Ovis aries: one gene and its partner. The protein of the gene in region 1 purifies or fractionates together with the protein of each later gene. This does not show direct contact. Links are inferred from orthologs where the notes say so. Each region holds a gene or a part of one and is shown on either strand. Other genes may lie near its edges.

Evidence for each region.
Region 2: the proteins of ETV6 (region 1) and LRP6 purify together in Homo sapiens (affinity purification with mass spectrometry; 3 studies listed by BioGRID and IntAct, counting the BioPlex papers as one, with this or other methods). This does not show direct contact. The link is inferred for Ovis aries from reciprocal best matches to the Homo sapiens genes ETV6 and LRP6.

The regions. Positions count from the first base shown.
Region 1 is NC_056056.1:203,890,603-203,894,735, forward strand, and holds the start of ETV6 (transcription factor ETV6), read right to left. Parts: upstream 2,807-4,133; 5' UTR 2,494-2,806; coding exon 2,461-2,493; intron 1-2,460. UniProt on the Homo sapiens protein: Transcriptional repressor; binds to the DNA sequence 5'-CCGGAAGT-3'. Plays a role in hematopoiesis and malignant transformation.
Region 2 is NC_056056.1:203,192,326-203,196,313, forward strand, and holds the start of LRP6 (low-density lipoprotein receptor-related protein 6), read left to right. Parts: upstream 1-1,183; 5' UTR 1,184-1,389; coding exon of another isoform or gene 1,390-1,500; coding exon 1,501-1,555; intron 1,556-3,988. UniProt on the Homo sapiens protein: Component of the Wnt-Fzd-LRP5-LRP6 complex that triggers beta-catenin signaling through inducing aggregation of receptor-ligand complexes into ribosome-sized signalosomes.

The DNA.
Region 1 (4,133 bases):
ATCAGAGCCATGAGCTCATCCTTTAAAGCTCCTGACACTCATTCTCTACTCCACAGAAAACTTTATTGTTTACTGGACTCTAGGAAAAAAAAAAAATCGCTGTACTAGTGGGTTCCCGGCAAACATTTTTTATCCTGCAGTCATTGCACCACATCCCAGGGACTCAGGGAAACACCGCACACAATCACCAGAACATTTTCAGACGAGCTAGAATAATCCCAGTCCTTGATCTCCAGAGTTTCTTACTGGAACATTGCAAACTAAACAAACGCCATGAGAAAATGCACTTCCCGTGCGTTTAAACATATGCACAGTCCAAGTAAGCAGTTGCAGACCGGTTCCATAAAGGACAATCCAAATTAAAAGTGATACTTTCACTACTAGGGAAGACCACTGGATCTGTTCTAATTACGGAGAAATACAGAAGTCAACAAAAGAGGCTTTCCAAAAGAATGGAGAGGGTAAACGATAAGATAGAAAATGATAACACAAACCGTGGCTGCAATTTTTAGGTCACAGTTAAGGGACTGTGCCGTCTGGGTTTGGGATTGGTTCCCTCTGTGCATGTAAGAAAGGAGTTGCTGTAGTCGTCCACTGAGGTACCATGAGATGAACCCCTCATTGGTATTTCTGCCTGCAGCCCCGAGCCTCTCAGAACAGCGGGCTTACGCAGTCTTTTTAGAAGAGCTAGCAAGCCACAAAACAGCTTGCTTTTCGTTGTCTCCACTCCAAAATCACTCTCCCATAGTTGTTCAAGGTCTCCTGAGGTCAGATTTATTGTCGTTGAGCTAAATACAATTTACAGATTTAATATCCTATTATTTAGTTACCTTTGTGTTATGAAGTATCAGATAGATTAGGCATACCCAAGGATTATCCTGAACTCATAGAATCGAATTTATTCAGCAAAAGAAATTGGTTTTAAAGTATCAACCTACCTAAATTCTTTACTCTGACATCCTCTCCACCGGAGACATAGTGCTATCCCCAGATATCTACACAGAAACCTGAAAGTTCCACTAAGCGCTTTTTGTGCGAGGCAAAAACAATCCCAACCCACCTTTTCAGTTCACATTAACCCTAATTCAAACCCCCTGAGAAATTGCGCCTGATAAGAAATACTAACACCTAAGTATAATTATGAAACCCTAATGAGTAAATATGAGAAAATGCTGAGTTTTCCTCTAAACAGATCCTATGTAAATGCCATTTAAAACAGAAGAGACGTTTCCCAAAATGCCCCATGGATGAAGGAAACTGGTTATTTGTTCATTGTCTCTGCAGGGTCCCCTCAATGAACATATTAAATGGGCCAAGCCACAAACAAAACTTCAGCAGCTTCAGCTTCTCACTGAAGAAGGCTTTTCCATCTGAGCACTGATGGAACAGTGAAATGAAAGTGCACACGGAACGCAGGGAAGGGAAAATTAATTGGGGGAGATGGACAGATCAGTGTGCCTCCTCACGGTGGCAAACTTTACAACAACTTTTTAGAAGCAACAAACCGCAGCACCACTAGCCTTTACAGACATACAGACATGTACATAAATGCTCACACACACCACTACTTGGAAGATAAGTACTGTGTTTGCAAACATCCTCCACCATCCTGCATTTACCAGACTGCAAACCTTGGCCAGAGACTGGGAGATTTCTACTCTTAGCTACCCTCTCTGCACTGTCAAAGTGGGAAGGTCATTCTGCCTGGTCACTTCAATCATTCTCCCTGCATGACAAGAGTTTTCTACTTTTGGATTGCTCAACGTTCAGATGCCTACGAGAGTAAAATAACCATTCAGCAACTTTATTCACCTTGGTTTAAAAAAAAAAAAAAAAGAAAGAAAGAAAAGAAAGAAATTCATTGTGCAATGCCCAGGAAAAGCTGACAGCACTACTGTCTCTCCGACAAGCGCCTGCAATTACAATGGGGCGGCAGGGGGGTGGGGGGGGGGAGAGACTGTCTGACCAGACTCGCGGAACCCTTAAAAAAAAGATTCCAACCCCAATGGAGCCGGAGAGCTTTTTTTTTTTTTTTTTCTAAGGAGACCACCCCTCGGGAACAAAAGTTACATTTCGATCACATGTTGGGAGTAGGAGTAGGGAGCAGGCTTTTTTTTTTTTTTTAAGCGCACTAATTACCGGGGTGTTTTGCAGACCTGAGGACCACTCGGGTTCCTCCTGACCGACTGTGACCGGCATTTCCTTGTCAAAAAGCAAAGGAGGTGGGGTGGGGGCGCAGGAGCCGACACGGGGCTCGGCGGGAGCGGGGAAGCAGCAAGGTTACACTAGAGGGTACGCCGCCGCCGAGAGCTGCATCTCCTTCCCCGGCGCCCCAAATAATTTCCTGCGAACAGAGCGACTGCAACAGCCCCCTCGGATCGGAGGAGCCCGGCACGATCAGCCGGGCCGGTGCAGCTCAAGGCTTTCCACCCCGGAGAGGGAGGGGGAGAAGATCTTTACCTTAATGCTACACTGAGCAGGAGTCTCAGACATGTCTCACAGCGAGAGAGATCAGGAAGTTCTCAGTTTTTTTTCCACTTTCCTTTCCTCTCCCCAACCCAGAAACGCTCCACGGCCAGCCGGACGCGGTCATTTAAGAAGTTTCTTGCAGCATCTCTCCCGGCGGCCGCCCCGGGGGGCCGCGAGCGCGCGGGGCGGGGCGGGGCGGGCCGGGCGCCGGCCGAGTCGCCGCGCGCGGGGTGGCGGGGGCGTGGGAGCGGGCGGCGCGGCGGCGGGGTCTGCAGGTCGCGGCGCGGCGACCCGGGGCGCTAGCCCGGCCGGCCTGCCCCGCTCTCTCCTCCCACCCGGGCCGGCGCCCCCGCCCCCCGCCCTCCCGCCGCTCTCCCTCGCCCTCCCTCTCTCTCTCTCGAATGTTTTCCTTCCTGGAAGAGAGAAACTGAAAGGCAGAACTGAGAAAGCTCTTTGCTCATTGATCTTGAGAGTTTCAGTGCAGAAACTGACGTGAATTCCCAGCACTGAGCTCTGCCTCTTAAAGGAGCCACCAGGAAATAAAAGCTCGGGTTACAGCCCGGCATCGGGAAATAAAAGCCGCGCGGGGGAGGGGGGGGGGGAGAGGCGGCGCGGCGGCCGGGGGGCGGGGGACCGTGCGCTAGGCCCCCGGGGCCCGGGCGCGGGGCTGCTAAGCTCCGCCGGGCCGCTGCCGGGCTCGCGCCTCGGGGCCCCAGAACCCTCCGGACAGGATCAACGAGGCGTTGATCCGATCCCCTCCCCTAGTTCCGTCTCTTAGATACACTGAAAGGCACAGGGCTTTTTTTTTTTTTTTTTTTAATTTTTCCTCCGTCCCCCCTCCCGCCACCCCGAGCCGAGCGCGGACGCAATGAAAATAATTATATAGGAAGGGACATTCCGGTAAGGACGCGGAACCCGAAGGAGGAAATAAAACAATAGCCTTTGTTCTGCTTCTCGACCGCGGCCTCTTTAAGAGAATCCACCAGGAAATGGGAGATCGGGTTACAGCCCGCACCGGGGAAAAGGGGCGAGCGGGCGAGCGGCGGAGCGCGACGCCGCCGGAGACAAAGCGGGGCTGCTGCCCGCAGATGCCCGCCCGGCCGCGGGGGGGAATTCCCCGCCGAGGTGGGCGCCCCGAAAACGCTAGGTGCGCGCGCGCGCACCCGCCGGGCCGGGGATGCGGGCGCTGCCGGGCCGAGCACGCGTCCTGGAGAAGGGAAGGCGGCTGGGCAGTTATCAAAGGCGGTTGAGTTCCTTTTCCTGACCACCGCCACCCCCAGCCACCCTTCCTCCCTGTTTCGAAATCTGCTGTCCTTTTAAAGCAATAGCGGCCGCTACCAACCGACAAAGGGGACTCGAGTACAAAGTTGACAGGACGGGTTCCTGGAGATAATAGCCCTCCCCGGACCGCTTCTCAGAAGCCGTCACTGACAGATGGGACGACCCCCGGGATCCTGCCGGGAGGGTGGGAAGAATATTTGGCTGGGAAAACAATTGAGGTTAAAGCCGGTGGGGCTGAAGGTTCTATCCTTGAGTACGTGTTGTCTGATCACTCTATTATTTTTATTGTTGTTTATAGTCTCTGAAAATGCTCCGAAGCGTCCACCGCTGGACACATTATTAATTATATATAAATTCTAAAGCCTGCTAGTACTTTCGGCTTT
Region 2 (3,988 bases), about 700 kb from region 1:
GTAGTTATGAGTGTCAAATCTGACTGTGAGCAGCACTTGGTGAACCTCAGTGTTACTACGATATTGAGTACCACTGCTGGAGTAGCTCCAGCTCCGCGCCACCTGCCCACAGTAAGGTTGAGTGACAGGTGGATGGATTGCTGCTGATGGCTCCTTTAGGTTAACTCTCAGTGGTGCCATCCCAGCTTCACCCGCACCCCCCACCCCCAAGCTGCCACGTGATTCCAAGGGCTTCTGGGCCGTTACTCCTGAACGCCCAGTGAAAGGCGGCTGCTGCGGCGAGCAGCCGGCCAGAGGCTGTGCAAAATCGAGTCTGAGATTCCGAGGAATCTTTTCCTCCTCAATCTGAGAGCGGATCGTCACAACATGCCAGACATTCATCACTAAACGCAGTTTGCAAAATCCTAGCACCGTTCTGCCCACCGTCCCTTTGCTTTGTTAGGTGCTGACGCATTTATCTTGGAATTTTATCTGCCGGGTTAGAAATCCTTTAGTCCTTGGGGGGGGGGGGGGGGGGGGCAGTCTGTAGTTCTGGGAAACCAGGAGAAAATTAAAAAAAAAATTCAGTTTTCTGTTGGCGTTTGAATACCCTTCACCAGATCCATGTTGAAAGCCGATGGAAGCAATATTAGTTTTCATTTTCCTTAAAAAAAAAAAAAAAAGATGCTTAAACAGATTTCCAACCCTGGGACTAAAGTCATGCCTCGTATCGGGATCTAGGTGAATCTCCGAGCGTGGACCTGCGGCTCTGCAGGCCCAGCCAGCCGTCTCCTGCCGCCCACCTTGGCCCCGGCCCAGGTGGCGGCCGGCGTGGACCTGGAGCCTCACCTGGCTCGGTCGGCGGCGGCCGCACAAAGAGCGGCGCAGGCGGCTGCCGGGCCGAGCCGCAGAAAGTAGTCCCGACCACGCCGGCTCCCGATGTTGTTCGACGTCGCTTCACGCCCTCCGCGGGGAGGGCCGAAGGGTCCGGCCCGGGAAAGAATCCCTTCGGAATGCGCCACTGGGCGGCCTGTCCCCTCTGGCCCGCTTCTACTGGTCCCGCAGATCTCCCGGGGTCTCCTCGCCGAGGCTGTGCGCACGGTTTCCTCTCCTTTTCTAACCTGCCCGGGAGGCGGCACCGAGGGAGGGGAGGGCTCGCCCGCGCGCAGGGAGACCTCGGCGGCGATCCGTGACGGTGGGAGGCGTATCCCTGCGCCGCTGCGTGAGAGGAAGAGGCTGAATGAGGAGCTGCGCGGGGGAAGCGGGGCGCCGGGGGAGGAGGCGGCGGGATGGAAGCAGACGCTGGCGTCGCGCGAGCTCCGGGCGGAGCGGCGCGGTAGAGAGGGCGGCGGCGGCGGCAGCGCGCGCGGAGCCTTGACGGGCCCCCTTTTCTTTCTTCTCTCTGGAAAGCTGGGAAGCATGAGCGTGCAGACCTGCCGCTGCGGCGGCCGCCCCGGCTCCTCGCCTCCCCCTCTTCGGGCCGCCCCTCGCCGGTGAGAGAAGCGAACGCGAGCAGGGAAGATGGGGGCCGTCCTGAGGAGCCTCCTGGCCTGCAGTTTCTGCGTGCTCCTGAGAGGTGGGAGAGAAAGCGGGGGGACGGGAAAGTTGGTGGGGTTTGCGGGAGGGAAGGAGGGGGTCTCGTTCTGTTGTGTCTACGGAGGGGAGGGGAGGGTGGGGGAGGCGAAGCTGGGGAAGGAGTTGGGAGAGGCCTGGTCGTGGGGAAGGAGGGAGCAAGGGGCCCGGGAGAAGGGGCTGCGCGCTCCGCCCGGCCACGCTGCAGCCCCCGCCTCGCTTGCCCCACCGCGTCCGGACAGAGCGTTCGTCCGGGCTGCCTGGCGGGGTGACCTCCCCCCGGAGCCCCATCCTGTCCGAGTGACTGGAGATCGGTGGGTCTCCTGCCTGCAGTCACCGGGGACGAGGGGCTTTGTATGGATCTTGGCTCTCGGAACGTTGGAGCCCAAGATGCTTCAGCGCTTGGATTTCTCCCTCCAAGCCCCCACCTTTTCCCTGTGGGTCCCGTGAACTTTTAGAGCCCTCTTACTATTTTTTCCAGGCCTTGTAGCAACTAATAACTGGTTTCCGTGGAGGATGTAATGATCGTGGGTGAGAGCATAGTTGGAAAGGGACTCCGAGGTTATAGGTCGAGTGTTTTCAGCCTTGGGGAATCGCCTGGGCTCCAGCCCGTAATAAAATAGAAACGTTGCCCTTGCAACCTCTGGCATTCAGGACTTGCCCCTATTTTCGGAGCATGCAAGTGTACAGTTGGCACCAAGTAGGAAAGTCATCCTTGGTGGAGAGGAGCCTGTCCTGGGACCTAAGTTATCATCTGCTGCGCTCCCCTGGAGACTGCGTGGCACGTTGGTAAATAACATAGGCTATTCTAGGTAATTTGCCCTGAGAATCGCGTAAATTCAATGGTCCCAGGTTTTGTTTTTTAGATTGGCCTGCGAAACTGTCACACATGCTGCGACTTTTTTGTGACAGTTCACTGAGGTTTTTGACTGGCCTGCAAGATTTCAACAGCTCTTCTCACATCAGTGGTGAAGTGGTGATGACTCTGATGCTATGGGGCATTTACCAGCAGAGGAATTTAAGTACCAATTGATGGAATGACTTGAAGCTTTGGTTTCAGTTAACAATTCTCGCTTGTGTTCACGGTCAGTTCTTTTCAGGTATGGGACCTCTTGGGTCTAAGGAGATTTTTAGCTGTTAATTTAATAGGCTAAATTTATGTTCAATGTGCACACTTACTTTAGTTTCCAGAACACAATAGTAACAGTCTTGTGTTATAAATGAGCTGGATATGCCATTTCTGAGTATATGTTTATTGGATAAGCGTGATTGACATTGTTTTGGAGGAGGAATTTTTTTCTTTAGTTACACTTCAGGATTATTCAGGGAGATCCCCTGGAGAAGGAAATGGCAACCCACTCCAATGTTCTTGCCTGGGAAATCCCATGGACCAAGGAGTCTGGCAAGCTACAGTCCTTGGGGGTCACAAAAGAGCTGTTGATTTAACTGAGACACAGCTGAAGTGACTGAACAGCAGCCGCAACAGCAGGATTATTAGGTCTGCCTGTTTTATATACTTATACTTAATTACAACTCATTGTAAGCGTATTCTAAACTATTTCCACGTGTAAACTTTAGAAAGCTAGTGCTTATTTTATTTTCTTGGCAGAGAATTGGATGTAGTGGTATGTACTTGAGAGGTCTAGTAATTATATATTCATTTTAGTATGATATAGTTCCTATTGAAGGGGATTTTGCTATAGTTGTGAGAAACAATTTTATTTGACATAGAATATGGGTATATTTTAAGACAGAAGGTTAATAGAATTAACAAATAGAGTCCCCTGTTGGGTTAAAGCCTTGGTGAAATTGCATTCCATTACCCAGATGCTTCTGGTTGCCCAGTTGTATTTCTTGGAAGAGGAGGTTATGTTGTAAATGCCACTTGTTTAACACCAGAATTGAGCCCAGAATTGAGTTTATTCATTATTGGAGTTAAGAGAAGTTACATTTGAAATAATATTGTGACGTATGATATTATGTAAGAAGACCTAGAAAAGTTAATAGTGCAAATTGCTTCATTTCCACCAACAGAATTTCCAAAAGTGAAGCTCTTATTTTAAATATAGTCTAATCATGGTTTAAGGTGGCCTTTGAATTTAACATACTTAACCATGGGTATATATTTGAACTAAAACTATTTTTACTGTGAAAGATTTTTATTCATAATTTAGGTTCTTCTCATTCCTTGATAATGTCATCCTCTTAAAATTGTGTTATTAGTTAATCTTGGACTCCAGGGAGAAGTGATTACTTTGTTGTATTAAGATCACTTGTTGTATTAAGATCACTTTTCTTCACAGAAGAGTTGGAGGTTTAACATTGGGAAGATGGGATGATGGGAGAGTTTGGGAGACCTTTGGTCCTCTGGCCCAGTTAAATCAATAGCTGAAAGCCGGGAAATAATGCTATCATTATCTGGACTGTGTCCTCATCC